Tamandua tetradactyla: one gene and its partners. The protein of the gene in region 3 interacts with the protein of the main gene of each other region in a pairwise test. Links are inferred from orthologs where the notes say so. Each region holds a gene or a part of one and is shown on either strand. Other genes may lie near its edges.

Evidence for each region.
Region 1: the proteins of DDX17 (region 3) and WBP11 interact in a two-hybrid assay, tested with the Homo sapiens proteins (3 studies listed by BioGRID and IntAct). The link is inferred for Tamandua tetradactyla from reciprocal best matches to the Homo sapiens genes DDX17 and WBP11.
Region 2: the proteins of DDX17 (region 3) and RBM15 interact in binary tests that used the Homo sapiens proteins (3 or more experiments, as listed by UniProt). The link is inferred for Tamandua tetradactyla from reciprocal best matches to the Homo sapiens genes DDX17 and RBM15.

The regions. Positions count from the first base shown.
Region 1 is NC_135333.1:77,378,573-77,389,235, forward strand, and holds the start of WBP11 (WW domain-binding protein 11), read right to left. Parts: upstream 4,512-10,663; 5' UTR 4,193-4,511; exon of another isoform or gene 4,022-4,192; 5' UTR 3,308-4,021; exon of another isoform or gene 3,025-3,307; intron 2,036-3,024; 5' UTR 1,986-2,035; coding exon 1,922-1,985; intron 1,170-1,921; coding exon 1,138-1,169; intron 528-1,137; coding exon 434-527; intron 1-433. Other genes in the region: SMCO3 (single-pass membrane and coiled-coil domain-containing protein 3), read right to left, coding at 6,239-6,916. UniProt on the Homo sapiens protein: Activates pre-mRNA splicing. May inhibit PP1 phosphatase activity.
Region 2 is NC_135337.1:12,584,233-12,595,180, reverse strand, and holds the start of RBM15 (RNA-binding protein 15), read left to right. Parts: upstream 1-6,397; 5' UTR 6,398-6,683; coding exon 6,684-9,552; intron 9,553-10,948. UniProt on the Homo sapiens protein: RNA-binding protein that acts as a key regulator of N6-methyladenosine (m6A) methylation of RNAs, thereby regulating different processes, such as hematopoietic cell homeostasis, alternative splicing of mRNAs and X chromosome inactivation mediated by Xist RNA.
Region 3 is NC_135333.1:30,848,010-30,858,959, reverse strand, and holds the start of DDX17 (putative ATP-dependent RNA helicase DDX17), read left to right. Parts: upstream 1-5,978; 5' UTR 5,979-6,221; coding exon 6,222-6,271; intron 6,272-10,406; coding exon 10,407-10,557; intron 10,558-10,950. UniProt on the Homo sapiens protein: As an RNA helicase, unwinds RNA and alters RNA structures through ATP binding and hydrolysis.

The DNA of each region.
Region 1 (10,663 bases), about 47 Mb from region 3:
TGGGAAACTGTCTTATATTCATGGTAATTTAACAGGAAAAATGGGAAATGGCCTTAAATTTATAATGGTTTAACACTTAGATTTACACAGTAGTTGTCAACATTAAAAAAGTAAATCAAAACAAAGAAACCACAACAGAAAAAGGTAATTTCATAAACCAAATTTCAACCTTCTCTCAAAAAAAATGATCTAGTCCTACTGGATTTATCTTATAACAAAGTTAGCTAAAAATAAAAATAAAAATAGTGGTTTTTTAAAGTCATGAGCTCGCCTGTTTGCAACAGCCCACCCCCTCCAATCCCTGACAACAGTGTCAAACACCATTATGCTTTTCTTTCTTTCTTATGCTAAAGCTGCTTCACTCATTACCTGCTTGCCCCATGTGCTTCTATTACATCTGCTATGAAATTCTTGCCTTTTAAAAAATTCTTACCCATTTCGTCTAATTTCTCCATGTCTCGGATAATCTGTTTGGGATCCTTCATCTTCAAAACTGCAGCTCGTACCATCATACGCTGTTTTTTGTTCTTAGAAACATAAAAGGAGCAGAATATGAAGAGGTTGGGCACTCGTGGGTGTTTTTTAAATTTGTTTATTTAAACAGGATTTTGATCCACTCCTTAATTTCTGACCATTTGTTTTAATAAACTAGAAAAGAGCCACGTAAATTTTTTGCTCTTAAAAGGGTTTCAACTTTTGTCAAAAAGATAAGTGATATTTACAAAATGTGCTTTCTTAGGAAAGTATTATTTTAACCTAGTGAGATTTTTAGCAGTTGCTTAAAAAATTTATTCTTTAGATTTCTTTTTTTAACAAAAGTTGCAATCAAATACTAAAATTATCTATCAGAACAGAGAAAAGTTTCTCAAGATTTAATGCTAAACAATGAAAGAAAACATAAGTGAAAACTACTAGAATTCTGAGTTCCTTAAATGTTTTAAATGCATGATATTAAAAAATAAATCCTTTCTTATTCTTGGGAAGAACTTTGCCCAAAACACCATAGTTACCTATTCAAGATAATGGGTTTATAAAGCTGTTTTGTTTCACATTTATATCCTTTCACTAATTCAGCAAATTATCACAAGATACACCAAACAATACTTATGGCTACAAAGGATGCTTCTGAAACCATACCTTCTTTAATTCTCTCTTCCGAGCTTCCTTTCCTTAAAAAGGAGAAATAAAACTTCAGAATCTTGAACATTATCATTGTCTCCAATTTAATACAATTTTCACTCTGAGAGGACTTTAATTTCCACATTTTAGATTAGGAAGACTAATAACTGAGTTTTCAAAACGCAATGCTTTCTAACTGTGGCACAACTGACATCGGGGATGCATAATTCTTTGTCGTGGGAGGCCATCTGATGCATTGTAGAATATTTAGCGGCATCCCTGGCCTCTAGCCACTAAGTGCTAAAAGTAATTGTGACAAACAAAAATTCTTGAGGCATTTTTAAGCTTCTTAAAAAAATAATTATGAATCTGAAGGAAAAAATACCATAACCTACTAAATGAGTGCTTATAAACCTCATCTGTTCAAATTCTAAGTATAAAAAGAAAGCTTTAAGCCAATTCTACTGTACTGCAAACCAATCAAATTTGAAACTGGTAATATAAATACTAATTTTTTTACATCTTAGAAGTTTAACTCATGTGCTCACAAGAACAATGGTTAACTTTATACAACCGATGTGTATCACTGCTGATCTTGTAATTATGCCACAATGAAATAAACAGATTCCCCAGTGCTTATACTTTTTACCACTCACAAGAACAATGGTTAACTTTCTACAACTGATGTATATCACTACTGATCTTGTAATTATGCCATAATGATATAAACAGATTCCCCAATGCTTACACTTTTTACCATTCCTTAACATTTGCTTATCATTGCACATTAATGGACACTTACGGGCCTGGTCTGTGGGGTTCATAAATTTTCCACTCTTGGTGGATGACGTAGATCTCCGTCCCATGTTTAAAATCTGTATTGTTTACTTCTTCATCAAAAAAAAAAAAAGGCAACCTGAAAATACAAATAAGTAACTTACATTTTTCTGTATTCATAATTTTTTCCCCTTTTTAGAGTACCTTAATATCTGACAAGAAATAGTCTTGATTAATTTTTTGAGAACTTGTTCTTATTCTCAAATTTAGTATCCAAGAAAGATGGCCTCAACTTTCTTGACAAGGAAAAATTAGATCTTTAACGTTCATTAGTAAGACAAAGGGTCTGAAAAGCACTGTGCATATGATTAAATCATCAATGTAGCCTTAAAAAAAAATCAATCATAACTCTGACTGTTGACTGAAAAAATCAACCACTTTCAGCAATATGGCACAAACCATGAACACCGGAAGCCATTCATTAGCCCTTTCCCTACAGCTTCCCTTTATTTATCTGTAGGATGAAAAAAAGAATAGGGGTATGGAATTTGGGCCCAAAGACAAATAGTTCACCCATGCCTATTCATAGTTTTTCTTAGCATGCATTCTCCCAACACTTCTGAGACCATAAAAAATCATTAACTGAAATATACTTCTAATTCAGATATAGCTCTTGCTTTCCAAAAATTTAAAACTAAAAATGAAAATACTCAAAATAAGCATTATATAAGGAAGCTTTCATAAACTTCCATTTTTATCGACATACATTTTCCTAACTAGTACCTACTTGATTCCTGATTTGTATTTTTAAAAATACCTAAATGTGATAATTGTGGTTGAGGGAAAATATTTTCTACGCAAAATTTTTGTTAGGCTAAGACCATATTATATCATTTCTTCCCCTATTCCAAATGAATGAGATGTAACTTTTTAAAACTCTCTTTACAATGATAAGGGTTAACAAATTTCCTCTCTTTAGAAAGCAGGCACTTTTAAAAGAGAGCCAAAGGGAAGATCATGAAGTAGATTATTTGGTAGATTATACAATTATATTCTCTCTCCCTTTACACAGGCATTGTCAGATCAGTTGATTACGGTATTACTTCTTAAAATAAATGTTCAATTAACCTGATTTCTGCTAGATGCTTCCGAGCTGTTCTAGCGGTAATGAATTTAGCCTGTCACTGTTACTTTCTCACGAAAAAAACAAAACCCACGAGTGAGGGAACAAGCAAAGTAAGTGCATATATAAGCTCTCAGATCTGCCTGTATTTCTTTTGCTTTCTTCTCTCAATTATCAGACTGATGTTTTGACCCTCTCCCACAGATTATAGTCAATCTTTACAAATACACTGGTGGGTTAGTCCGCACAAACTACTGTTTTTTTTTTTTGGTCTAAAACAGAGGCCACCTGGTAATCAGGCCACAAAACGTTGGGTAACTTGAAAATAGCCAAAAAGGTTCCCAGGGGACGGGGTCCAGGTCCGCCAAAGGAGGCAATACTAGCAGCAACTGCCGAAACTATAACGACGGTTGACCCTGACTCGAGGCTCAAGACGACGTGAAACGTAGAGCAGCCGGTCAACGTGCAGAGGAAGCCGCGCCAACCAACCTAGATAAAACTATCTCTTAAGCGCTGGAAACCGCGACGTCTCCGGCCCGGGGATCCCCCAAATTGAGACTCGAGAGACACCAACCAGGGCGAGGAAGAACGCAGAAACGGGGCCTGGAGTTCCAAGACACCCGCGCGGGCCCTAGAAGGGACGGGAAAGGTGAAAAAGCGGAGTGGAACCACCCGCACACTCACACTTCTGCTGAATTCCCGGGACTGCTAGAATTGGGGTGTGGGCGATTTCTGGCCTCTTTTACTTCGTAGGGGTCTTCACCTCAGCCCCTCGTTCAGGTAGCCAGCCACCGCCATCTTGAAAGCTCGCGCCCCTCCGCCATCGGTACGTCACTTCCTGTGTCTTCGGGTGGACGGTCTCTTACCGTTTTTCAGTCTTGGGGACCATCCAGAATACCCAAGAACACTAGGATCAAGCTCTCTTCCGCTTGGTTAAAATACTAAATTGGTTGGCTGTCTGCTAACAGCCCGCCTTTTTACGCAGTACGAAGACTCCTAGTCCTATAGGAATAATAAAAGAGAAGCTGGGGCAGATATCTAATTGGTTGATGGCAAGGCACTCCTGTTTCCCTTCCCGCCCCCCCAACGCCGGCCGTTCTGACTTAATATCCGGGGGCATCAATTATTGTGTGGACCGAGACCCGTATTTTGAACGTAGGGACGATGTCTTACGTTGATTGTATCTCCTGGGAATTGTGCTCCTTTTTGGATTTTTCCTTTTCTGGTGACTTAAGCGGATGCGGTCCTTTGGGCGCAACTCCATTTGAAAGCGAGTTGCCGAATAACGCTTGGCGCTGTGTTTGAGGCGCTTTGCTAGGGTCAGGTGGGCCCACGTGGGCGTCTGGTACATCCCGGAGTTCAGTAATGGTTTGTGAACACACAGACCCCTGAGCACATCAGTGCCTGCATTAGGGATCCAGAATGCTAATCGACAGGATTTGTTTTTTGAAGAGGAACTGAAGGATATATGTGCATTCAGTTGTACATTTACTATTGGCGAGTTTAATTTTGTTGGCTCCTTGCCTGACTGTCCTTTATGACGTCACTTACACGTTTGGAAATATTTACCATCTCTAGACGTAGTCATTTCTTTTCTATTCCCTCTTTCCCTAAAACTCCTCATTTCTCTTTCCCCCTTAAAGGTAAGCTAAAATATTGAAAAAAATTTTGCTTGGTTACTTCTGATCCTAAATTAAGTTTCCCCTGTAAGAAAACAAGTTAGATTTAGGCCAATTCTATCAATTATAAATATTTCAGAATATTTATGTTGCTGTTAATTTTTAGTAGATTAGTCAAAATGGACTTAAAGAATATAAGGTAGGCCCCTTACTTAAACTAACCTTCGTCTTAGTAGATTCACTTTTGAGGGTGAGCCACATTGTTTGCAATGAACTAAAAAAGCATTGATGGAAAGAAAGCACAAAGTACATTTGAAAAATTAAGGTCTTATGTCTAACGTTGTGACTTGAGATATGCTGAGTGTTTTAAATTTCAAGATATTTCTTGTACTTTGGGACAAGAATCAAATACAACATTCTCACAGCAGTATATTAATTTTCTTAAGTAGAGGCTAAAAGAGTCTTAATGGAATGTCACTAATTGGTGATGGGTTCAGAAAGCACTTGTATCTGTTGAACAGTTCAACTGTACCATTAGGCCTATGTAGCCTCTGAATTTTCCTGAAATTAGGTAATTAGTGGAATTAGCCAGCAAAAGCTCTGTATAGCAGAGACAGCTGCCTACTTTGTTATTATTGAAAATGAAATTAATTTCTTTTTCTCTGAAAACTCATAGGTAATAAAGGATAACATTCCCATAAATGACAATTTCTTAAAAGAGTAGGGGCTGCCTCTCCTGTATCCCAAATGCATTTTATTGGTGTATGGCTGGAGTTTTTATTTTTATGTTCCAGAGGGTTCAAATATTGACTTGCGGGATACTCGATCAGAATATCGCAAGTTGACTGCAACGGCAGAAACGGACCTTTATCTTTTTTTGGGGGGGGGGGGGGTGGTGTATGGTCTGGGAATTGAACCTGGGTCTCCCACATGAAAGGTGAGCACTCTACCCGTGCACCCCTATCTTTTTAACTTTAACTTTCAACTTCATATTTTTAATCCATCTAGATTACAGTGTGTAATTAGCAGATGATCATGGAACCGTTGCTACTATTCATTAAAACAGATTGGTACAAACCATTTTTTAGTCTCTTCCAGTTTATAGAAAATTGGATTTGATCTTATGATTGAAAATATGGTAATACTTTAATTCCAGTTGAAGGCCTACAGCTTGTGTTTAGGCAGCAGTTGCTAAGTATGTCCCCTTAGAACTAGTTGATGGCTGAAACTAATGATGGAAATGAGAATTTCTATATTCAATGTAAATTTAAGAATTTTGACTAGGGATTAGAAAAAGAAAGGGTAACTACCCCTGCTGCTCTACAATAGCGTTTGCCCCAATGTTGGTCAGGTAGAGCAAGAATTTACATAATCTTTTATTTTGAAGGCTCTAGGACCGACTGACCCAGGCATTCATTGATAAAAACAAAAAGAAACTCCAGTGCCTTAGTTTTCGCATTTCTGATCCCCACTTTCCAAACTATTTACTCAGTTTGTACCCTTTTTGGAAGTGTATGGAAAATGAACCTAATCAAGGAAGCAAAACACTATTAATGAGAAGGAAGCAGAAAAATATTCCAGTGAGAAATCAAATGCCTGTTTATTTTATTTGGTGTTCCACTGTGTTGGTGACCTCAGTAATAATATGATGATATTTTTCGGAGGCTGACTTGAACTCCACCAAATGCTTCTCATAACTTCTGATGGCTGTTTGAAGCTGTGTTTTCTCCACTGCCCCCAGGATGGCACGGAAGATCATGTCTATGCCAAGGCCAAGAACAGTAACTCCAATACTGCCAAGGAGAGAGGCACCAATTTGAGCTAGCACAGTGACCAGCTTGTTAATTATGCCCGTTGTGACACTGGAGCCCACGAGTTTAACAGCCAGTGCACTGGCTGCAGAAGTGGCTTCTCCCAGGATGACTGAAATAACCTTTTGCACTATGGCAATTTTCTCTGTCTCCCTTTCCTTAATGTCTTGAAGTTTTCTGTAAAGGTTTGGCTCTAATTTATCTTTTAGTGCTTCGTCAACCTTTTGCAATTCCTTTTGAATTTTTGTCATGGCTTGTATGATGATATCACAGTTTTCTTTGATGGTTCCATCTCTTTTCATCTCAATGGAGGCCAACTTGCATCCCAAGTGCTTATTTAGAACCCCAATAAGTTTATTGGTTGCATGGAAGCTGTCAGATAAGCAGTCAAGAAGCTGCTGGTGAAGACGATTTACTTCCTGCCGCCTCCTTGGGTTCTCTGGATAGAGAAAATCACTCTGAGCCATATTTCAAATAAGATTTCTGAAAAATAAAAAAGTAAATCCTCACTAAGAACTTAGATAAATATCTGCTGTCTGCATAGATTGGACCAGGAAATCTTTTACTCCATTGTTCTTAAAACAATTACTTTTATAAAACTTGCAGTCATTGTATGATAGATAACCTGTGTCTCAGAATATAACCCACTGATGAATAAGTTAAGGCTTTACATTTTGTGGTGGAAAGAACTCCTAGATAAGAAATGGTTATTAATAAATCTGTTTTCCAGGTAATATTTAATAGCCTAAAATTAAAACAAACTTCAATTTGGTAATAGCTTTTAATTACCAGTCTCCTTGACACCATCTCACCCACCCCCTTCTACCAGTCACCACATCAGATAGATTGCTCTACTATTTGGAGTAAATTAGTGTCAGGGCCAGAAGGCTTTAAGATCTCTTTCAGGGCTATTAATACCAAATTTCGTGTTTATATACTTGGCTATCTTAATTTACAAAATCTGTCGTATCTCTTACAGGCAAATTGTTTTACAAACCTAAGAGATATCTGAAGACAACACCCATGTGTTAAAATCTTTGGAAAAACAGGTATATCCTCTCAATAAAAGTATATATTCAAGACTCTTTGGATTGAAATTTTTCTTGAAGAGAAGGTGAGTATGATATAGGGTATAGTGCAGTTATGACTAACTATGATTCTCCACGTGCAGACATTACTTATTTAGAATGGTTTATATTGCACTTAGCCATTAATAAGATAAGCTAGCGTAGCCTCAGAGAGACAGGAGACAGTGCCATTTCACAAAAGTACTAAAGGATATGTAGGAAGATGGCACCATACAATGAATTTAATGAATCTGATTTATAATGTGATAAGATAACCTTCTTGTGCTTGTACTTCTGGTTTGCATTACCATCTAGAGGAAAAGGGAACATGCATGTTCTGAATTTATTTGGGTGAAAAATCTGTAGTTTGACTGAGCCCAGTAAGAACACACTATTAACAGACACATGTTAGTAGGCTTACTATGTGTTTTGAACTTTTTTTTTTTTTTCATTTCAACTGTTGGGAGAAAAGAAAGAGAATATGGAATCCCATAACTTTATCTGTGTGGGATCTAGCATATTTAAGCAGGCAGCATCCTGAGTAATTTGAGCCCTACCTTTTCTAGGACAATGGTTCTTAGCCCAGATATGAGGGACCTCAGAAGCATGAGATGGAGGAAAGTAAAAATGAAAATAACCTGTCTTCTAAGTCAAAGATAAAATTTGAAAATGTAAAGGGGAATTTTTTTCCAAAATGGATCAGAAAAATAACCTTATGAGTTAGATTTAGAAAAATGAAGGAAGAATAAAGATGACCATGGTCAGAAATTTATTTTTATTCACTCACACACACACATACCTTACATACACATATACATATGCATGCATATAACAGAACTTTCCACAATACAGTTTTAAAAAATAACTAGTATTTTCTACTCCCACTTACAGAAATTACTTTGTTGAGCGTCTCATTAAATATTCTCAAGAATAACTCAATAAACTCAATGTGTGGCAAACTTTAGAGAACCGCAAATTTGCACTTTCATTATTTTCTTCCAGAATTTTCCTTTAAATTTGTCTTTTTCTGGCTCCTTGTTTTCAGATTGTTTCATGTAACAGAAACTCTAGTTTTTGACTTCGGATTTAGAAGATCACCAACTATATCACTATTTAGATATTTAGGTGAGAGGAGTCTTTCTTCCTCTGAAAAAGTGGAAAATATTTCTAGCAGCTATCATATACCATTATCTGAAGGTGTAACTTGCAGAAAAGGTGTGAGGGTCTGTATACCTGAAGTTAAACAAAAAGTTCCCACACACACCCTCCTCCAAATTCGACTAACAAAGAGGAACCTGTAAAAAGAACTGATAAAAACCTGAGAAAAATGCAAAAAAAATCTTGAGTATTATTAAGAAAAACAGTACTAATCTAACAATTAAATGAGCCAACAACTCTGAACAGACAGTGAAAGAGAAATAGTAGCTTAATAAATTGATGAAAAAAGTTCAGTTTTACCAGAAATCAGACATGGTATTTTTTTCAACTACAAAAGTAACATTTTTTTTTCCTTTTAAATGCTCAAGCCATTACACGTATACTCTAATAGTCTTCTTCCTAGGATACAGATATCAATTAATAATTTTGAGTTGAGATATCATGTTACAGTCAAAATTATTTTTCATTTCCAATGAATGAAGTCTTTCTTTTTCTGAGCCAGGCTTACCTTCCCGGCTCTTTTTGGGATCTTTTTTGGAATCTTGGAACAGATTGTGGGGAGGGGGAGTATTCCTCATGCAAATAACCTCCTGCAGGCCGGCTCCTGATACTTGCTCAGGTTCTGCCTGGGCTTCAGAGTGAATATGCTCAAGGTGTTTCCATCCCCAAAGAGAGAAAAAAGGTTAGAGAGTTAGGAGGTGTAAAGGTGGGGCTCAAAGGTGAAGCTAATGTGAATTATCTTTTGTGTAGGTGAAATTTGAAGAGCCCCTTAAAGGAAGCCATTTATTAACTCAGTGACAATTCATCTAATAAAACAGTAAGGTAAATAATCATAGTAAGTAGAGTAGAGGGTAAGATAAGTAATAATGTAGAAGGTATTATGCAAGGCTTTGTAGAGCATGCAAAGGTGAAAAGACATGGTCCCTACTTTCATGGAATTTCTGATGTGGGTAAGGAGCTAAGACAGGTCTAAAACTACAATATCAAGAGAAAGTGATGTCATAAAAACTAGATTCAGGAGGTCCTTGACTTGTGCAAATTCAAATCTTGAACAATCCATTCTTAATATGTTATATATTGACACTGAGGCTATATAGAGATGCTTGGTGACCCAAGAAAGGTTAATAATTTATACTCTTTCAAACATATTCTTAGATGTCAGTTCAATATTTAGAGGAGAGATCAAACACCACATGGGGAGTCAAAGATTGCAATGTTCAGAGTTTCCATCATTGCCCTTAACAGTTCAGTTCTGATTCACTACTCCCTAATTGCTTACTCCACACAGTAAAGCAAAAGTCTTGCAATTAATTGGAGTCACCCTCGTTAAAGATCTTAATTGTTACTTAGGCATGTGGATGTCACTTAGCATCCACACAATAAAGCAAAAGTCTTGCAATTAATTGGAGTCAACCCCCTTAAAGATCATATTGTTACTTAGGCAATGTCTTTCCAGCCATATACGGTACTCTACAAGAGATGAATTCCTTTCTCCATCTTATTACATTTTCTGAGATGACCTGGTGACTGGATTGGCACCAATAGGTACCTATCTAACTGATGTACATTTTTTTTACAGAAAAAAAATATTGAACTTGTATTGGCAATTGTTGGTCTTCTTAAGTAATGTGCTTAGAATACTTTAGTATTTTTTGGAATTCCTAAAGCACTTTATAATTGGAACCCATAATTTATCTGTAAAATAGCCATTGTAACTATATTTTTTAGGAGTTGCTGAAACTGAGATGAAAGCTCTTCTGGTTAATAGGGAAAACTGAAAAAATAACACACTTATTGAGATTAAATTCACTGGCCTAGTTATGTCTATAACTGAAAGAAAAAGAAGAAAACAAAAGTCTTCCAATAGTACATAATTTGCAACCTATTGTTGTACAGAATTTAAAAGGTTTTGAATCAGTTCCAGTATAAAAATAAGGCCAACGTGCTTCTATAAAATAATTAAAAGTATAGAAAGGGGATCTATTACTC
Region 2 (10,948 bases), on a different chromosome or scaffold from region 3:
CGTCTTTAAAAAGAGTAATGAATAACTCCATAGAAGGGCAAAAGAATGACTAGTTATTTCATAGATGAAGAAACACATATGACCAGTAAACTTACGAAGAAATATGCAAGCTCAGTAGTCACTGGGGAAATAAAAAAGCAAAACCACAGAGCGATACCATTGTATAGCCACTTGTTTGAGGCACATGCAGGAAAATACACATACACAAAGTCATAAAATGCCAACTACATGGATCAACAAGATCTTTTATACATTGCTGGTGAGACTGCAAATTGGGAAAATCACTTTGGAAAATCATTTGGCTTTATCTTGTAAACAACATTCAATATACCCTTTAATTCAGTAATTCCACTCCTAGGAATTGCCCCCTCCTCCACCTTCCCATTCTATCTCAGAGAAATTCTTGCACGTGTGTTCCAGGACACATGAATAAGAATCTTCATACCAGCATCGCTCATAATAGCGAAAACTGGAAATGATCTATATGTCCATCAACAGGAGAATGGATATATAAATGATGTTAAATTCAGTAGAATGGAATATCGTATAGCAATGGAAACAAACCAACTACACACAAAAACAGTACCATAATGAAAAATGCAAAGTTTATAAGGTTAGATACAATATGCTATCATCTGTATAAAGCACAAAAACAAGCAAAACTAAAAAATTATACTGGCAAGGTGCATGTGTATGCACACACACATTTGTTTTTAAAGCAAAGTATTGATAATCGTCAGATTCAGAATAGTAGCTACCTATTGGGGTAGGTAGTCGACAGGATAGAGGAGGCGAACTTAGATATAAATTATTGCTAGTTTCTATTTCTTGGATTGGATGTTGTATTCATGGGTATTCACTGTTATTGATAAATACTTGAAAAATGTAAAGGCCCTTGGGTAGGTAATTGTATAGTGCTTAGCATGTGCCAGGCACAGTTCTAAACTCTTTATGTTTTAACGCATCTGATCCTCCCAACAAGGAGAGTCTATGATTATTCCCATTTTATAAATGAGAGAATCAAGGAACAAAGAGGTTAAAAGAACTCTTCCAAGGTCCACAGCAGAGCTGTAATTTTAATCCGGGCTCTTAACCATTTACCCACAAAATGACTAAATAAATGAAAGAGATTATTGCATTAGGGATTAGTCATATAGAAGTTACAGCAGAGAGAGCTTTCTGTGACAATGGTAAAGGACAAAGCACATGAACAGCTCTGTTCAATATGCTTAAAACCAATGAATTGTATAACTTAAATGAGTGAACTTTATGCAATGAGCGAGCTTTATGGAACTTTTAAATAAATCTGTTTTTAAAAATACATACCACAAACAATGAAAACAATCCTAAATGATTGCCTACTATTTTAGGGATTTAATATATGCCTATGTGTAAAAATATATACTTTTCCCTTAGGCCAAACAAAATAAACCTGTCAGGAGAGTACTCACTTTATGAACAGAGATAGATTTTTAAAATTTCATCTATTTTTGTGGGTGGAAAATTTTTTTTTCAGTTCCCAGCATCAACCTATTTTGTATCTACCAAGAAATAAATGGCTTTGAACTTCCAAGACAAAATTTGTGTTGCAATCACAACTGTGTGTGTGTGTGTGTGTGTGTGTGTGTGTGTGTGTGTGTGTGTGTGTGTATTGAGGAGGCGGATACAAAAAGAATAAAATCCAGGAAGAGGGTGAAAGGAGGGGCATTTGTTTGAAAACATACATTTTTAAAAATTGCAGTTTTCTTCCATGTGTATAACTTTTCTTTTGCTTTTTCCTTTTAAAGCTAAAACTGATTTTAAAGGAGACAGAAAAAGGACTCATATAGAAAGCTAGTTGTGTCTGCTCTCTTGCTGGGCTGTGTCTTCTAGGACCTTAGAGTTGCACGGCTCCAAGGGGTCACCCTCATTCCAGAACAGGCTATGAAACTTTTCCTTATTATTTCCTAACTTGGGATAAGGGCACTGAAAAGGAGAGATCAACATGCTGCTATGTTGCTCCGGGAAGTTGTTGGTAATTTAACTGTTTTCTTGACCACTGAGAGATCCTCTTCACCCCAGGTCAGGTAACCTCACAAATCCGGCCATTTGATCACAAGGAGACCAAATGAAAGCTTGGACCGAATCTCAACTTCCTCACCAATACCAGAAAAAGTTTTCAAAGTTCTGGCTCTTAAACGCTGGGTCACTTTAATCCTACCTCAAACCCCTCTAAAAGACATGTGTAAAATCAGCTGATAAAAACTCACTAAACAGCTTCATGCTTTAAGACAAAGGAAAAGAAAATAAAACAAATCACTTCTTTTAACTACATTATGGATCCAACATATTTTGGCATTATTTAGCTCTACTGTGAACACACACACATTACAGGCATTATGTTTTGGCTCTTTCACTGGTAAAGCTCTTTACAGACTAACCATAAAACTTACCAGTCCTCTTGTCTCCAAGAAGGCTACCATCCCACCAGTCCTCTCGTCTCCAAAAAGTCTACCATTCCCTCAGGCAAGCATTACTAGTGCAGCCAACTGTGAGCAGTTGCTTCCATCATGCCCCCTGGTATGTCAAGCAGCAAGTCAAGCCTGGAAGCCTCAGGCACTACCACACATTTGTACTGGTGCTTGTCCAGCAGGCAGTACAAACTGGAATTCTTTCCCTGAATTCTTGTGTTTCCTCAACCCCTATAATTAGTTTTGGGAAACTGTACTGATTTAACTATTATCTTTTTCTTTAATCAGTGAGTCAACTAAGCAAGTCAGTTTAGTTCAAAAGTATTAATTCTGGAGACTGGTTTATCTGGATCAGCTAATGATTTGAGTAATCAGGTAACGGGGTTCCTTCAGTTTCCCTTTGTGTTGTAGGAATATAACCTTAAAATAGATTCAAACTCTCTATTTAAAGCTTTTTCTTTGAGCATTTCGAGTGTTGACAAATACTGCAAGTTTTTTTTAAAAAACCCCCTAGTGTCTAGATTCTTATCTCTAAATACCATCTTCCATTTAAAGGAACCAGAACTCCTTGGAGAACTGGGGTTGTGCGGTGGTACAGATAATGTACTAGATAAGCCTGCAGCAAAATAATGGAGAGAGGGAGAGTGGGAAGAGGTTAGAGAGAAACAAGATTGAAATGATTTGTTAATTGTTCAAATTAGGTGCTGGAAAAAATGTTTATTTGATACAAAATTTATATTTTGGTTAGTGCATTTCCTAATATAGCTTATGTGAACAGTTTAATTGAACACCATAAATACACAGAATCTTGAGTAGGGCATGAGATTGTGTAGGTTTTTCCAGAGTGATGTCCTGATAAATCCCAGAATGATTTGAACAGTAAATAAAAAAAGTATTTACAAAGTCCCCTCAGAGGAATGGCGAGAAAGGGGGAAAATTCAACTTTCCCATGTGGAGAATTTCTGATATTCTCACAAGCAGTGGGGACAACCAAAACAATCGATCGAGCTCTCAATCTTGGGGTTTGTTTGCATGAAACTTATCTCCGCAAGGACCAGGCTAAGCCTACTTAAAATTAGGCCTAAGAGTCACCCCCAGAGAGTATCTTTTGTTGCTCAGATGTGGCCTCTTTCTGAGCCAACACAACAAGCAAACTCACTGCCCTCCCCCTGTCTATGTGGGACATGACTCCCAGGGGTGTGGACCTTCCTGGCAACATGGGACAGAAATTCTAGAATGAGCTGGGACTCAGCATCAAGGGACTGAGAAAACCTTCTTGACCAAAAGGAGGAACAGAGAAATGAGACAAAATAAAGTGTCAATGGCTGAAAGATTTCAAAGTCAAGAGATTATGCTGGAGGTTATTCTTACACATTATATAGATATCACCTTTTTATTTAAGGTATAATGGAGAGAGAGGCTGAAGGGAAGTGCCTGAAAATGTAGCACTGTGTTCCAGTAGCCATGCTTCTTGAAGATGATTGTATAATCATATAGCTTTAACAGTGTGACTGTGTGATTGTGAAAACCTTGTGTCTGATGCTCCTTTTATCTACAATTTGGACAGATGAGTAAAACATATGGATTAAAAATAAATAAATAATAGAGGAACAAACGTTAAATTTAGTAGACTGAAATGCTAGTGATCAATGAAAGGGAGGGGTAAGGGGCATGGTATGCATGAATTTTTTTCTTTTTATTTCTTTTTCTGAATTGATGCAAATGTTCTAAGAAATGATCATGATGATGAATATACAACTATGTGATGATATTGTGTTATTGATTATATATCAAGAATAGAATGATCATATAGTAAGAATATTCTTGTATGTTATGTTTAATAAATAAATAAATAAAAGAAGGCAAAAAAAAACCCCCAAAAAACCCCAGAAATTAGGTGCCGGGTTCTTCAGAGTATTCTTTGTAAGTGAAAAAGAATTGTTATTTTTCAAACTGAAAGAGTGGCACATGGTAAAACAAAGGTTTAAAAAGCAAAACAATGATACACAATGAAAAGTTAAGTCTCCCTCTCTTACTCCAGACTCTCAGTTCCCATCCTCAGGGTAACCTGGTAACTATTTTCTTCAGTATTTTTCAAGTAGGTTTCTACGAATATACAAAGATACATATATATGTGTGGGTATGAATATTTATATACATTTTTTTAAAACCACAAATGGTAGCATACTAGACACCTTATGAAACTTTTGGTAGCCAGTTTATTTTTTTAAATAATGATTTACTATCTATCTATCAGCTGCTGTAGGCTTAATGTCTCAAGCTGCTTGGCTCTTATGTGGCATCTGGTGTCTGACAGGACTTCGGTCACCTAGAGGCTTGAATGGTCTGGAACATGGAAAATGCTTCACGCCCACGGGCATTTATTTGGTGCTGGCTGTCACCCGGGTGCTCAGTTGGGACTGTCAACTAGACTGCCTCAGTTGGGGAATCTCACGGCATGGTAGCTGGCGCCCATAGTAGTTACTTTTAATCCAGTGGGTATATCTACACACTATTTCACTGTGGATTTTTATGTTTTACATATCCACTTAATTGTGGGCCTCTTTCAGGTTTCTTTGATCTTATCAAAAGATGAAAGGCCCCTTCATCACTTCCCCTAAAATTATTAAAAAAGGGAAGCAGATCTAATGCAGAGCTGCGAACCCGTCTTAGGCAGTTTTCAAGTTTTCGGGATCTTATTCTTACTCGGCACTACTTCCTTCCAGCAGACGGTGAAATTCTCGGTGTCAGCCAATTCCCGGCCTCACCCAGCATCTCGCACAGCGTCTGACACAATAAAGGTCTGTGCAAAGAATGAGAGTTGGATAATCATTGACGGAGGTAAAAGAGGTGGATTTGGAGACAGCCAGGTGGCTGCGCTACTGGGTTCTAATGCAGAATAGCCGGGGATGCGGGCAGGTGCGGGCAGGAAAGCGCGGCGCATCTGCAGCGGGTGTAAATCTCACCCGGTTATCTCAAGGGGAGAGGTAACGCGTATGAAAACAAATACAGCTAGACTACAGCGCCAAGAACAGACAAACCACGTGCATTCGCAACATAAAACAGGAAGCCCAGACATACGTCCGCTATAGCCCTACAGTTCCCGCCACGCCCGCGAACAGAGACGCTGGGATCGCGGTCACTCCCCTGGGTTACCGCCGCTCCGTGGGTGGGAACCGGGAGCGTCAGGGAAAGCCCGGCTCCCGGGCGAGGCACGCTAGGGCTGCGTCCCCGCTGCGCTACCACCTCGCTGCCCGACCCTGAGAGAACGCGCCAGATCGCAGCGTCACCCCGAGGCTTTAGTCTGACCCCGCGCGTGTCAAAAGAGAACTCCTGGCCCCTGCCGGCCGCGCGGGTCCCAGTGACCTCGGGGGACGCTCTCTCGCGCCCTGGGGAAACGGCCGGAGGGGGTGGTGCCTCGCACACACCCCGGGACAGCTTCTAACAGCCGGACGGCCTACCCAGTGCCTCGCCTGCCACAGGCAGAACGGTGGGGAGCCCAGAAGTTTCTAGCTCCACGGGCTGCAGCATCGCTAAGTACGCCGCGGGACCGAACAAATGTTTGAAGGGTGAACTGCGAAAGCGCGGGGAGGCGGAGTTGGCTCATGATCACCATCTCGCGACATCTAAGTGACGTCGCACAGCAAGCGCGTGTTCTAGTTTTCACCTTCAGTCAGCCTCCTCAGTATATGGGTCTCTCCCCTTAAGCGAGTGATGGACAGTTATTCCAGCCTATCAATTTCCTCATCAACATCCAATCAAATTTAAATTTCTTTTGGCCGCTGGAGGAGTTGGAAGAAGGGGATCGAAAGAGAGCGCTCGCGCCTGCGAGATTCGTGTGAGACTGCCTCTCAGAGAAAAAAAATGTCAAAACGGATGGCCCAACTTTCCAAATAGTGTGTTAAAGGACGGGGTCCCAAACCAATGAAAAGGATGAAGAGGTGGGAACGCTGCTTTCGCCGCGCAAGAAGTACCGTTACAAGGCAGACTTTTTGTCCAATCAGCGCCTCCGGGCTTTGGGTCAGGTGACTATAGAGTGCAGGGGCGGGGCTATAGCCTGGCGCGAGGAACCGTTAAGATAGACAATGAATACCACCAATGAGATACTCTGACTAGGGCGTTGGGAGACCAATAACAGTTGTTGGGCGGGCACCTTCCCGGAGAGCGGGGAGATGTAAAGACAGACAAACAGTTTTTCCAATGAGACTGTAGAACAGAGATGCTAATTGACCAATGAGGACTACGGGGCGGGATCCTTTTCCGCGGCGGAGTCCAAGATGGCGGCGTGCGGTTCCGCTGTGTGAAACGAGCGCGCGGCGGCGGGTTAATCAGTTCCGCGGAGACGACCTGCGACGACCTGCAACGATGAAGGGAAAAGAGCGCTCACCAGTCAAGGCTAAACGTTCTCGTGGTGGTGAGGACTCGACTTCCCGCGCGGAGCGGAGCAAGAAGTTAGGAGGCTCTGGAGGCAGCAATGGGAGCAGCAGCGGAAAGACCGACGGCGGCGGCGGGTCGCGGCGGAGCCTTCATTTGGACAAGTCCAGCAGCCGAGGTGGCAGCCGCGAGTATGACACTGGTGGGGGCAGCGCCAGTAGCCGCTTACATAGTTACAGCTCCCCAAGCACCAAAAATTCCTCGGGCGGGGGCGAGTCGCGCAGCAGCTCCCGGGGTGGAGGCGGGGAGTCACGTTCCTCTGGGGCCGCCTCCTCAACTCCTGGTGGTGGGGACAGCGGGGAATACAAGACGCTGAAGATAAGCGAGTTGGGGTCCCAGTTGAGCGACGAAGCAGTGGAGGACGGTCTATTTCACGAGTTCAAACGCTTCGGTGATGTAAGTGTCAAAATCAGTCATCTTTCGGGTTCTGGCAGCGGGGATGAACGGGTAGCCTTTGTGAACTTCCGGCGGCCAGAGGACGCGCGGGCGGCCAAGCATGCCAGAGGCCGCCTAGTGCTCTATGACCGGCCCCTGAAGATAGAGGCTGTGTATGTGAGCAGACGCCGCAGCCGCTCTCCTTTAGACAAAGATACTTATCCTGCGTCAGGCGGTGTGGTTGGGGCTTCTGTAGGTGGACACCGGCACCCTCCTGGGGGAGGTGGTGGAGGCCAGAGATCACTTTCCCCTGGTGGTGCTGCCTTGGGGTACAGAGACTACCGGTTGCAGCAGTTGGCTCTTGGCCGCCTGCCTCCACCACCACCGCCACCGTTGCCCCGAGAGCTGGAGAGAGAGCGAGACTATCCGTTTTATGAGAGAGTGCGTCCAGCCTACAGTCTTGAGCCAAGAGTGGGAGGTGGAGCCGGTGCGGCTCCTTTCAGAGAAGTGGATGAGATTTCACCTGAGGATGATCAGCGAGCAAACCGGACGCTTTTCTTGGGTAACTTAGACATCACTGTGACAGAGAGTGATCTAAGAAGGGCTTTTGATCGCTTTGGAGTCATCACAGAAGTAGACATCAAGCGGCCTTCTCGAGGCCAGACCAGTACCTACGGCTTTCTCAAATTCGAGAACCTGGACATGTCTCACCGAGCCAAACTAGCAATGTCTGGCAAAATTATAATTCGGAATCCTATAAAAATTGGTTATGGTAAAGCCACACCCACCACCCGCCTCTGGGTAGGCGGTTTGGGACCTTGGGTGCCTCTTGCTGCCCTGGCACGGGAGTTTGACAGATTTGGCACTATACGCACCATAGACTACCGCAAAGGTGATAGCTGGGCATATATCCAGTATGAAAGCCTGGATGCAGCTCATGCTGCCTGGACCCATATGCGGGGCTTCCCACTTGGTGGCCCAGACCGTCGCCTTAGAGTAGACTTTGCAGACACGGAACATCGTTACCAACAACAATATCTGCAGCCTCTTCCCCTGACTCATTACGAATTGGTGACAGATGCTTTTGGACATCGAGCACCTGACCCTTTGAGAGGTGCTCGGGACAGGACACCACCCTTACTGTACAGAGATCGTGACAGGGACCTTTATCCTGATTCTGATTGGGTGCCACCACCGCCCCCAGTCCGTGAACGCAGCACTCGGACTGCAGCAACTGCTGTGCCTGCTTATGAGCCATTGGATAACCTTGATCGCAGGCGTGATGGCTGGTCCTTGGACCGGGACAGAGGTGAGAGAGATCTGCCCAGCAGCAGAGACCAGCCTAGGAAGCGAAGACTGCCTGAGGAGAGTGGGGGACGGCATCTGGATAGGTCCCCTGATAGTGACCGTCCACGAAAACGTCACTGTGCCCCTTCTCCTGACCGCAGTCCAGAATTGAGCAGTAGCCGGGATCGCTATAACAGTGACAATGATCGATCTTCCCGTCTTCTCCTCTTGGAAAGGCCCTCTCCAATCAGAGACAGACGAGGTAGTTTGGAGAAGAGCCAAGGTGACAAGCGAGACCGTAAAAATTCTGCATCAGCAGAACGGGATAGGAAGCACCGGACAGCTGCTCCCACCGAGGGTAAAAGCCCTCTGAAAAAAGAAGACCGGTCAGATGGGAGTGCACCTAGCACCAGCACTGCTTCATCGAAGCTGAAATCCCCTTCCCAGAAACAGGATGGTGGGGCAGCACCTGCAGCAGCATCCTCTCCCAAACTCTGTTTGGCCTGGCAGGGCATGCTTCTACTGAAGAACAGCAATTTCCCATCCAACATGCATCTGTTGCAGGGTGACCTTCAAGTGGCTAGTAGTCTTCTTGTGGAGGGTTCAACTGGAGGCAAGGTAGCCCAGCTCAAGATCACTCAGCGTCTCCGTTTGGACCAGCCCAAGTTGGATGAAGTAACTCGACGCATCAAAGTGGCAGGGCCCAATGGTTATGCCATTCTTCTGGCTGTGCCTGGAAGTTCTGACAGCCGGTCCTCCTCCTCTTTGGCCACATCAGATACTGCCACCTCTACCCAGAGGCCTCTTAGGAACCTCGTGTCCTATTTAAAGCAAAAGCAGGCCGCTGGGGTGATCAGTCTCCCTGTAGGGGGCAACAAAGACAAGGAGAACACCGGGGTCCTTCATGCCTTCCCACCCTGTGAGTTCTCCCAGCAGTTCCTGGATTCCCCTGCCAAGGCACTGGCTAAATCTGAAGAAGATTACCTGGTCATGATCATTGTCCGTGGTGCGTCTTAAGATACATGTGTAATTTGTATTTACTACTTTTACATGGTTCCTGTTTTGTGATGTGTAATGGGATACAGCATCAAAGGCAATTTTCTTTTTAGTTGGTTGTTTAGTCATAGCTTTTTCTTTTTTATATTTTTATAACCTCTTTAAAAATAGAAGTCAGGACAGTTTAGTTGTTATTTTAGGTGTAAAGGTTGCCCTAGAAGTAGCAGGCAGATGGACTTGCTTTAACTAGGAGTTCCCACCTTGTTACTTTTCTCCCTTCTTAAATTTTTTAACCTTGAGCTTAAAAAAAAAAACAACCCTTGAAGTTACAAAACCAAAATTTTTTTCGGTAGGTCAGAATTTGAAGAAAAGAGACCAGTGATTGTATAAAGATGGTAGCATATACTTAAAAATTACTTGATTGGTGTGTAAGTAAATAATTCCTGTATCAGAAATATTTGTGTGACTAAAATTTGATCAGGATCTCAAAAGTATAAGCTGATAAATTATATAGAAATGTAATTATTTTAATCAGGTATATTGAGTATTTTTCTTAAAATGCACAGTTTATTCCCAGAGAGTTTGTTTTAAGTGCGCGTTTTTATCATCATTTTTTGAGTTCTACTGTATCCCATATATGCACTTTTGGTTTGTAGCCGTATCTATTCAGTAAAAATTGAGGACTGTGTTACAAACCATATGTGACTTTCGATTACACTAGTATGCAGGAAGTGAGTAGGTGCTTTTAAAATCAGAATTCTTTAGTCAGTGATTGGTGTATGGTGGTGTTTTAACTGACCTTTTCCAGAGAGGTGTAGCAGATTCAGTTCTAATTTAATTGCATTTTTCGGAAATAAGTATTCTTCAGCAAAGATATAGTTTTGGGTTTTGCATCCGTTTAAATTTCTGGTGTTAATAATAGAGAGTTGTTTGTAGGGTCTTTTGTTTCATTGGGCATAAATCAGACATAACCTGTGTTGCAGAATTTATGAAAAGTTACCATAAAATGCCTTGCTATGCTTTTTTTTTTAACTTTTCTCAAGCTCTTATTTTCATATTTAAACAGTAGTGGTAACATTACATTATTGGAAATGTTTTAAATATCTTTGAGATTTCGTGTTTAATATTTTCATTTATGTCCAGCCAGAGAAAATTGAAATGTTAGTCTAGGAAAAACTTTTTTTATTGTTTTATTTTTCCCAGACACCTGGAAAGTATTGTCATAGTACAAACTAATTTAATCCACCCCCCCAATTTTTTTTAAGCTGAGGATTTTATCAGTTTCTTTTTCTTAACAAGGTCTTTTGCTGCTTAATAGTAATGGATAATTTTTTTCTTGTTTCCTTACCTACATCCACACCCCTTCCCCTAGTTTCTTCCTCTAGTTTCTTAGGTCATTAGGGAGT
Region 3 (10,950 bases):
CACTAGTGAGAAATTCTGATTTATTGAAGGTAAAACCACTGTCTCATTGCATCCTACCCATCTCTCCCTGTTCTCATGTGAAGCTTTTTTTACTTTATCTGGCTTCTCTAATTTTACACCCCCATATCATTTAATATTGTCTTTAAGTTCATTTCTATTAAACAAACCCCAAATCCTTCACCTACCGGTTCCCCTTGACTTAGGTTGCTAGGGAATCATAACAAATAACTTTTTCTGTTATAAAACAACAAAAAAAAACCTTTTCTTGTCCCATCCTAATAAGAAAGGTCCATTTGTTGGGACAAAGGGCAGGGTGGATATACCATTCCAAGCATTCAAAAGGATGAATGCCAAGCATTTGTGTGTGTAAGTGTAGTAAGTTTTTGCCACATCTTGTTAATTATCATGTCCTCCTTTCTCCTTTAGAGTCTTTAAGGTGCATTAATACTGTTAGTCCCTAGGTTTGTGAGTCATTCTGTCTCTTTAAGGCAACTGACTATTTCACTGCTGTGTGATGACTGCATGGTCTGAACTCTCTTCCTCCTCAGCATGGGTGTGCAGTGTGAGTTAGGGGAAGAACCACACCATCTCTTGGTGGTAAGTAATTAATGCCAAAAGAATGGCGGAAACCCTAAGTGCCAGAGGCCTGGTGATCCCTACTTCCAGAAGGCTCCAAGGTGGGGGTGGGGGGCTTGGAACTGGATCTCAAGTCCTTCTATTAACACACATGGAGAGGCAAAGTAAAAACTGTGGGTGAAAATAGAGAATAGACAAGATTTGCTGGAGCAGGAGGGTTGGTGAGAAGTTGGGGTCAGAATCTGGAAGGCCTGGTATGTGAGACTAGAGTCAAAGCTGGGCGTTTAGATCATGGGGAGCCCTTGAAGGTTTTTTTAAGCAAGTGACTTACACAAAATAGCAAAGCTGAAAAACGCTTAGTGAGGGTGGACTCCCATTATAAGCCCCTCTAATACAGAAGTCACCAACACACACAAAGTAGATGTCAATAATTAACATCGCTGGGCTGAAATTTCTGCCTGGCTACAACTGGGGGATTGATGAAGTTCTGCTCTCCTGGGAATCTCTCCTGGGACCAGGCCTATCTGGTCTGGTTTCACTTTCTTAGCTCAGTGGTGTTCAAATATTACCCCCTAGGAAAATTCTGAAAAAAATAGTTTAGATTGATACCTGAACTTTTTCATTGTAAGTTTAAATCATTTAAAAAATATGCAATTTATGAAATACTGACATTTAAAAATGAAACCATCAGATCATTCTTTCAGATGTTTCCCAATGGAATTTAAATACCACAGTAATTTGATACCCACCATTATTCTTTAAAAATACATGAAAAAGCTCTTCTTTAAGAATTGGATATTTCATATGGTCCTTCTTCTCTTAATTTGCAAAAGACTGTGCTACCTAGTAGTTAGAATCATTCACCTTTTCAAAGTCAATGCCAGTGTTTCTAATTTTCCTTGTTTTTGGCACCTCAGAGACTTTTCCATCGTGGCAAAGTCCAAAGTAATATTCTGGATAGAAGTATTCTTTTCTTGTGTAAAGTGGGAGAGAACAATTGTGAACAAATTTTTCATTTATATCAATTTTATGAAAGAATATATACAAAAGTTAAAATTCTCAAAGTAGACTTCCTGAAAACTCTTTTCTATATGTTTCTTATATACCACAGTTTGAAGGCATCTGCTTTAGGCTACCTAGTTGTTGGGGACTGAATCATGTCTCCCACAAAAGGCATAATTAAGTGCTAACCCCTGGTCCTGTGAGTGCGTGTGAACTCATTTCTAAACAGGACCTTTGAAGATGTTATTAGTTAAGATGGACAAATTGAATGAGAGTAGGCCTTAATCCAGTATGGTTAAAGTCCTTATAAGCAAAAGAAATTGGGCACAGAGACAACTGTGGGGATTTACCAGAAGCTGGAAGTTAACAGTTCCAGTAAGAAAAAGGATGAGATGCTGCCAGGTGCTTTGCCACATGATGGAAAAGCCAAGGAACTCTAAAGATTGCCGGCCAGCCAGAAGTCAGGGAAAGGCCCTGGGAGGAAGCAAGGTCTCTAGCCTCAGAAAGCAAAAAAATGTCCTGTTCTTAAGGTATTTAATCTAGCAGCCAGGAAACTAAAGCACTTATTGAATACTTCAGTATTCTATCTAAAGTTCCTGAACCAAGTATCAAAGAACCTGGGTCCTACCTAGACAAAAACCAGTAGCACTATATTTCACATTTAGGTGAGTCTAATGGCTATAAAGTTGAAGAACTGTGAAAGTTATATAAGAGAATGTCAGTAAAAACTTAGAATAGTTGGTTCATGGTATGGGCTTTAAAATAATTTTCTTAGTAGTTGAAAATTGTCTGAAGTATAAATTTTGTTGCTGTAATCACAATAAAGCAGATAAAAATGAGAAAAATGGCAATTGTATTGCTGGCAGGTGGAATCTGTGGAAGGCAAATCACATCCGCAGAAAAACTTGACAACTTAAAAGAGAATGAAATTGATCTTGTGATCCCACAAGGAAATAATATGTATTATAGTTAAGTATGTTGAACCTAAAACCTAGTGGTGTTTCCCAGTTATGTCATTTGCTAACTGTCTGACCCTTTCTGAGCCACAACTTTCTCTTCTGTAAAGTGGGGAGATGATGACAGCTAACATCTGTGGAATGTTTATTATGTACCAGGCATAACTGGTATTATTTCATTTGCTCCTCCCAACATCTCTTTGAGGTACTATCTCATTTTACAGCTGGGGATAAAATAAAATAACGAAGATAAAATAAAAGCTCATATCACTTAGTGAGCATAAGCATTCAATAATTGTCAGCTCTTAGTTAAAAAAAAATGAATTAAGCAAAGAATATTTTTGCTTTATACCAGAAGACTTGGCTGCTACCGAAATTTCTAGGTTTTCTGACCTACCTAATGAAAATCTTTTTCTATGCTTAGTAACAACATAATAAACTTCAATCATATTTGGTAGATACTCATATCATGAAAGAGAAATGCATTCTATAGATTCACTTTGGGATCAGAAACTTGGCTGCCAGAGGAAGACTTCCTTTAATCTTTTAGCATACGTGTGTGTGTGTGTGTGTGTGTGTGTGTGTGTGTGTGTGTGTGGTGTTGAATTAATCAAATAATGACAAAAATATATCATTACATATTGTGATAAACTTTAGGAAGTCAAAGGACCTGATCTAGTAGCAAAATACGAATTGCTCCCCCTGGTAAAATGTAGGGAAGATTGCATTTTCTTTATATACTATTTGTTGACTAAAGAGCCTCAAGCTTACTTAGCATATGTGATAAATGCGCAAATCATTCCAAACACCATTGAGTGCCTACCCTATCATCTAAATCACAGATGGGGCTTAATATTTGTTTCATCCTTGACTCTTCCTTCTTTTACATCCTACCCACCCCTAAATCATTGGCTGACCTTCACCATCAGACCAGTTCTTCCCAACTCATTGCTCTTAATCTGTACCAAGTCCCATCATCTCTTCCCTGGATTCCTACAGTAGCCTTCTAGGTAATATGCCTGCTTTTGTCCTGGACCATCCTCAATTTATTCCTCACCTTGTAGTTACAGGAGTCCTTTTATCATGTGGATATATTCAAAACCTTCCATGTCTTTCTACTCAGAGGAAAAGAAAAGGTTCTTACTGTGACCTTTACAAGCCTTTCATGATCTGGCTTTGCCTCTTACCTCTCCTCCTCATGCTACTCCTGTTACACTAGCCCTACCACAGGACTTTTGCCTGTGCTTCTCCCTCTTACGCTGGCAGGACTAGCTCCCTCCCTTCAGCTCTCTGCTCACATGTCACTTTATTAGGGAGACTTTCCCAGGACACACTACCTAACCACGTTACCCCACCCCACACTGTATATCCCTTTTCCCTGATTTTATTTTTCCTTTCTTTTTATTTTACTTCAGTTGGAGTCTACCTCGCATAAACATTCATCTTCTATGTTCCCCACTAGCATACAAATTCTGTGTGTGCCCTACCGTGCCCCAGTGCCCATGGTAGGCATTCAGCACTTGTCCAAAGTAATACATGGTTGAGTGTCCACTGCTGTCTATGGCTCAAGTAATACCTGGGATGGCCTATCACAAAACTCTCTTCCCTATGCCACTTTTCTAACAATTTGGGAAGCACTCAGAAAACATGATAGGAGACCCCACTCAGCCACCACACTAAGGGGCTTCATATCTGCCGCATCCTTTGAGCCCATCCATAGGGAAAAAAAAAAAAGAGATATTAAATTAGTTGATCTCCAAAAGGCCTTAACAGCTTGACAATTCTATGATGCTATGTGGCCAAATTCTCGAGACCTTACTGCAGTTTCAGGGGAAAGGAATTGATACTGCAAGCATGGCTCTTTCCAATAGAAGGGCCCACCTGACTTAGCTCTACAAAGGAGAAAGTGTCTCAGCGTGAAGGAGATTTATTGCATGTGCACTTTGCAAGGAACTGGAGGAATCGTCCCCAAACCAGTTCAAAGTGGGGGTGTGAGGTAGGGTTTTTAAAGGTAAAGGGTAGGACAAATGGATCAAAACCCACGTTACGTCCACAACTTCTTCTTGTCAAGTCAGGGATGACACTGGATCTTTGTGAGGACAGTACCAGCAATTTCTTAATTCTGTTTTGTCTCAAGCACATCTTATTCCAACTTCAGAGATTAGCTTTAGATATATAACGTCCAAGCTCCTACATTCAGGGTCTTCAGGATTCTTTTCAAACTTTTGTCTTTTGAGGAGGAAGTCATTGATTCACTGGGCCAGAGGGTGTTCTTGATGTTATTGTTATTTTATTCCTGTAAAAAGAACTTCCAATGTCTGGTTAATGTCCTTCTGGAACTAAAGTACAAAGAGGAGATTGCTAAACTCAGCTAGGGTAAGCATATTTTCCAGCTATCAGGAAGTAGGAATGGGAAGTCAGCTTAGAAGAAACGGAAAGAATATGGCCTACCTAGTTCAAAACTTGTACTTATGCTTCCCATCCCCCTTCTGTGTCTTAAGACCACCGGTTTAAACATGTTCATTACCAGAGAATGCCAAGGGTCTCTTGGAGCACCGCCTTTAATGGCGGCCAAGGGACCCCCGCATCAACCTGAAGAGATGCCTCACCCACATTTTACCGCTGCGTTAGCACAATTGTGTTCTGCCGGGGATGGTGCAAAAATTTGCTCAGGAAATGCATTTGTGTGAATCAAACATAACAAAGAGCGTTTTATCACGGCCGACAAGTCACCGCGGGTCCCACTCCGTAAGGAACGGGACGCGGCGCATCCATCATGGCCGCCGGCACAAGCGCAGCGAGCAGCAACTGAAAGGAAATGGCGCCAGGGCGCGCGGTCAGTCTCGACAAGGCCGAGCACTGGGGTGAGGGGTCGACAGAGGCACCAGAAACGCCAACCGAGGACCCTTAAGATCTTCTTGAGCTTTTGACACTTGGAGACCCTGAAAATTGACGACTGCAACATGGAAGCTATTTTATCTATAAAGCAACTAGCACAAGCAGCCTTCAGGTTGCGTGCCGCTACTGGAATCCAACAAAACCCTCTATTCTTTAAACAGAATGCTTTACGCATAGTACGCATCTTCGCAATAGTGGGCCGACTAACGCCTCAAAGAATGCTTCGTCGCAACAGAGGCGCGTCCCCCTCCCATCCCCCCACCCCACGTTCTAGTTCAGGTGGCGCGAGAACTCTACGCTCGCTCCGTACTTTATTTTTCTTCCGTGTTCCGTAAAACGTGTCCATCTCCGCAATCGACGTAAACCTCTTTCAAGAATAGCCCTATTACCCCGCGATCCCTCGGGTGATTCTAAGACGCTGTTTACGTATCGTCTCTGACGTACGTAGCGTTGAGCTGGAGCAGTCTCAGCGGCGGCCGCCATTTTGTGCAGCCGCTGGGAAGGAAGGAGACGCCTAAACCGCGGCGAAGCCGGGTTTGAGCGTAGCCAAACCTACCCACCGTTTTTATATCCCCGATTCTCTGTGTTTTGCTCCCGTCTCCGACGAGAGAGGCGGCGACGGTGGCGTCTGCGACGGGAGATAGCGCGTCGGAGCGAGAAAGCGCCGCGCCTGCCGCCGCCCCAACAGCGGAGGCGCCGCCGCCATCGGTCGTCACCAGGCCGGAGCCGCAGGCCCTCCCGAGCCCGGCCATCCGTGCCCCGCTCCCAGATCTCTATCCATTTGGGACCATGCGCGGAGGCGGCTTTGGGGACCGGGACCGGGATCGTGACCGCGGAGGGTAAGGGAGGGAGGAGAAGAAAGACCTTGCGTCTGCGGGGGGTTGGGGGGAGGTGGTACTTGACGAGACGGAAACCTCTGCCCTAACAGGGGATTTGAGGGGATCCTTCCCGAGCCCGGAGGCGAGGAGACCCGGGGCGATAATACCGGTTCAGTGTGCGGGCCTGGGTCTCGGCCCTGGGGTCACTCGTGACCTGGCAGGAGGAGCGGCTGCTTGGCGACGCTCCAGCCACTCCTTACGGACGGTCGTCGTGGCGCGGCCCAGCCCGGGGGGAGCGGAAAGGCCGGGACCGGGTGGGTTGCAGGCAGGAGGGGGAAGGCCCGGCCGCCGCATATTCGTCCTGAGCCTCTCTGTCTTTTAGTGCCAGGCCGATTAGGGCAAGTCATTTGGTCTCTCCAGGCCTCAGCGTTCATCTGTAAAACACATAAGCTCTTTGTTGAGAGAAGAGGATGATACCTCCGAGTTAAGCTTGGGAAAATCTTAACGCGCAAATGGCTTTTCTCGTGTTCTCTATCGCCGGAGATAATTTAGCGGAACTGGAAACAAAGTACTAAAAAATACTAAATCGCCTTTATTTTTTCAAGTCGGAGGAAGCACACGGAGATACTAAAAGCAGTGGAATTACTCAAAGTTGCTGTGTTTACGAAGAAAGGGGGTTTTGTTTTTTTCTTTTCTGGTTTTTATTGTAAAGTTGGCATCTTCTGTTCTCCTCGGTCTGTTTTCTCAGACTGCAGCACTAGCTTCTCGAACAACCTAGAAAGTTTTAATGTGGGAATCCCGGGGTTACTAGGTTGGAAGCTAATGCGGGATTAAACCTGAACTCTTCTTACATGCAGAGATCACAGGCCTTAATGTCGGCTAAAAAAAAGTGCTTACTTATAGAAGTGTATCTCTGGATAAAGAGCAGTGTGATGCCATTTCGTAATATAATGTGACCTTGGGCAGGATCCTCAACCTTTGTGAGCTCATTTTCTCATCTGATGATGGGTGTAATAATTACTTGTCTTTCGTGGTAAGATAAATGATAAAGAAGCACCACTTACTAGCCACAAACCCTCAATTAACACTTTTAATTTACAATATAAAAATTTACTTTTTGGACTTCTACGTTGTTGGAAAAATACTTGATCTCAGTCTCAGTATTAAACATAGAGGCTAGAAATGTGGAATGTTTGCTTTTGTTGTCTTCGTATAGCTAAGTTGAGAAGCGAATTCCAATACAGCCAACTTTAGGAAAAAGAATTTCACAATATATAATACCCGTGAAAATGGCCCAGCAATTTCCTCTCTTTATGCCCTAGACTCTAGGGACTAGAGAAACTTGCACACGTGCCCCCAGGATATATGTAAAAAAATGTTTATAGCAGCATTATTCATGATGGCAGAAGATTGAAAACAACCCGAAAGTCAGGATACATTGTGGGTATTCATATAATAAAATGCAGTACAGCAACAAAAATGAATGAACTTGAATCAGCGTGGGTGACTCCCAAACATATTGAGTTTTTCTAAAATTCAGATCATGGTAGAAGGACAAATTTAGGGATTGAAACAGGTGTGGTAAAACTAAAAAGCAAACTATTTTATAATAAAATGCAACATAGTAGTAATGGTGGTAATTGTAAACTTGAAACAGACACTTGAGAGGCTATGAAAATAATGGTGGTGATCTTCTTACCGTAGGTGTTTGGTTAAGTGTTTGTTTACTTTTTTTTTTTTTTTACATGGGCAGGCACTGGGAATTGAACCCAGGTCCTCGGGCTTGGCAGGCAAGCATTCTTACCTGCTGAGCCACCGTGGCCTGCCCCATGTTTGCTTACTTTATATATGTTTTGAATGAGGAGTTATCTGAAAAGGGAAGGGGGAATGAATTACTAATCCATACTTAGTTTACCCCATATTCCTTGTGTATAAGATAACAGTTTTTAAAAAACTTTAAAAGTTGTTCATTTAAACAGAATGGCACGTATTAAATAAGGCTTAACTCCTAAATCCATCTTCACCATAAAATTTTCTTTATAATTTGTTTCATTCTTAACTGAATATTACATAGTTGAAATGGATTGTTACCTTTAAAGGAAATGGCTGCCAGCCCTGTATGTACATAAACAGTCCAAAGATGATATACATTGTACACTTAAACTAGCATAATTTTCCAAGTCCATACAGAATCCTCAAAGCTGTATTTGTTGCAAAGCCAAGTTGAACTGTTAATACTGAATCAGTAAAATGATTTAATGAACAGCTTTATGCAAAAAACTTGGGGATTTGCATCGCGTATGCTCAGGAATTAAGTAGAGGGCTCTGAGGTTTGAGGTCAGTGTTAATTACAAACGTGGTAGGCAGCATATATTTTAAGAACCTCATCATTCAAGTTAAATCTTGAGTGTAGAATAGTACGTTTTAGGTAAATAGCCAGGATGACTGGAAGAAGGGATTTGTTTTTTATATTTTTAAATAAAAGGCTGCTTAGAATAAACTTTAAAAGAGGAACTTTTCAGTATAATTTTGCGCTGGAAAATCGTCCTGAAAATGGCATTTCTGGGATCCACAAATTTATGTGAAGTAGACGGATGGAATCTCTAAAAACTGGTCTTTGGTTTTTGTGATTTTCTTCAAGACACTAACAGTCTAAAGACTTGGCTTTTTATTTCATGAATAGTATTGCGCTAGCAGCACCCTTTACAAGTAAAGAGGGGAGGGTTGATTCGGGATGACTAGTGGCCTTGTTCTATATTGAGCTCTAAGCCTGAAGGCGTGTTAGAGATGTCGTTGATATATGTACCCTTCTGTATGCTTTCCCTGTTTTGATTTTTAATTTCTGGTTTCTCTTACTGATTCATCAGTAATGTATACCTTATCAGCCAATATTGAACTGTTGTGTATAGATCGTCATTGGTCCCAGGTAAAATTTTCTCTTAGCAATCTTTGTATTTAGAGAGGCATCTAATAATGTGAATGAGAGGACATTGAGCTACTGCTGTCAACTATGAAGTGAAACTTTATAACAGGATGATGTTATGAGTGAGTTGGTGTGGAAAAGGAAAATTAATTTAAATTCAGTATTGTATCATACAAGGAATGAGAAAATGGAATGAAAAATACTATATTTACATGCCAAACAATGTTCCACAATTACGTAGTTTGAGTATAGAAATGAAGGTCATCTTAATGTTAGGATTCTTCTGGGAAAACTAGCTTCTAATTTTACTTAACTTTCAGGTTTGACCAGTAGTCCCATTTCAATTCCAATTGAGCGTTACTGTTATAAAAGATATATAAAGTGAGAATAAATTGATTTTAAATAATGTGGTTTTTTTAAGCTTATAGTTTTTAAAAGCCTTAGATAAAGTTGAGTGTGATGGTTTATTCTGTAAACTAATAGTTACATTAATAGCACTGTTTGCTTGGGAACAAGAAAGAGATTAGGTTAAGGTAGAGATGAGAAAAGAGAGAGGTCATAAACCTTTGTTATGGTTTGTGGTTATAATAGCATAAACTAAAGGTAGAGACTACCCTGCCACACTTAGAACCATAGGCCTTTACAGGTCCTAGCAGTTTTCCTTAGCATATAAATAGACAGTAGCAGTGCTCATCACTGTTCCAAGGAGAAAGAGTTCCGGGAAGCTGTTTCCAGTTTAGGGGGACTTGCTTGAAGAGTATATTTTTCTTTCTGTCCACGGTCTTGCCCTTAATTTAAGCTTAACCTAATGGCCTTCCTTTAGCCATCCTTTTAGGCAGGTTACAGGTAAGCTTGTGTGCAAATTCATTTCATTCTCACAGCAACCCTATGAAATAGGTGGTAGTATTATTTCTACTTGACAGTAGAAACTGAAACACAGAGTAGTTAAATTGTTCAAAATTATACAGTAAGTGGCACAAAATACAAATCTTTTCTTGTTCCAGAATCAGTTATCATAATCACCGTATTTCTTTAAATATGATAATTAAAACTTTTTCACCTATTGTAACCCATAGTCATAACTATTATTTGGATATATTCCATCATACCTTCAAATAAGTATAGAAATATTTTCTTTGGAAAGGAGATGGTAGCATCCTAGGAATCCTGTCTTTTTACATACAGGTAAACTATATTGTTTTTAAATATAAACTAAAATTTTGGTGTTTCTAGATTTGGAGCAAGAGGTGGTGGTGGCCTTCCCCCGAAGAAATTTGGTAATCCTGGGGAGCGTTTACGTAAAAAGAAGTGGGATTTGAGTGAGCTCCCCAAGTTTGAAAAGAATTTTTATGTGGAACATCCAGAAGTGGCAAGGCTGACTCCCGTAAGTTTTTAATTTTATTTTTCATAAATGTCAATGAACCAAGTGAACATTTTGACTGAATGTTACTCAAACATGCATCTGTTGTCATGATTTATTCAAGTGTGATGTACTTTTCTTAGCTTATTAAGACTGCTGCCACTCATAAGAGGAACCAGTTTAAAAATGCACCTAATGTAATCCTTCATATGTTGATTGTTTCCTAACCTATTTATTAGACATAATTTTAACTGTAATAGATCATGTCTTTTAATCTATGAAGTAAGTTAAATAAATTTAAAATATTGACATCTGTGCTTCTGTTTGTTCTTTTAACCTCATACTGATTGTTTTGGACTTTAACCATGAAATGGGTACTTGTTTAGGAGAAAGCACAGTGGAAAGACCTCAGGGGCA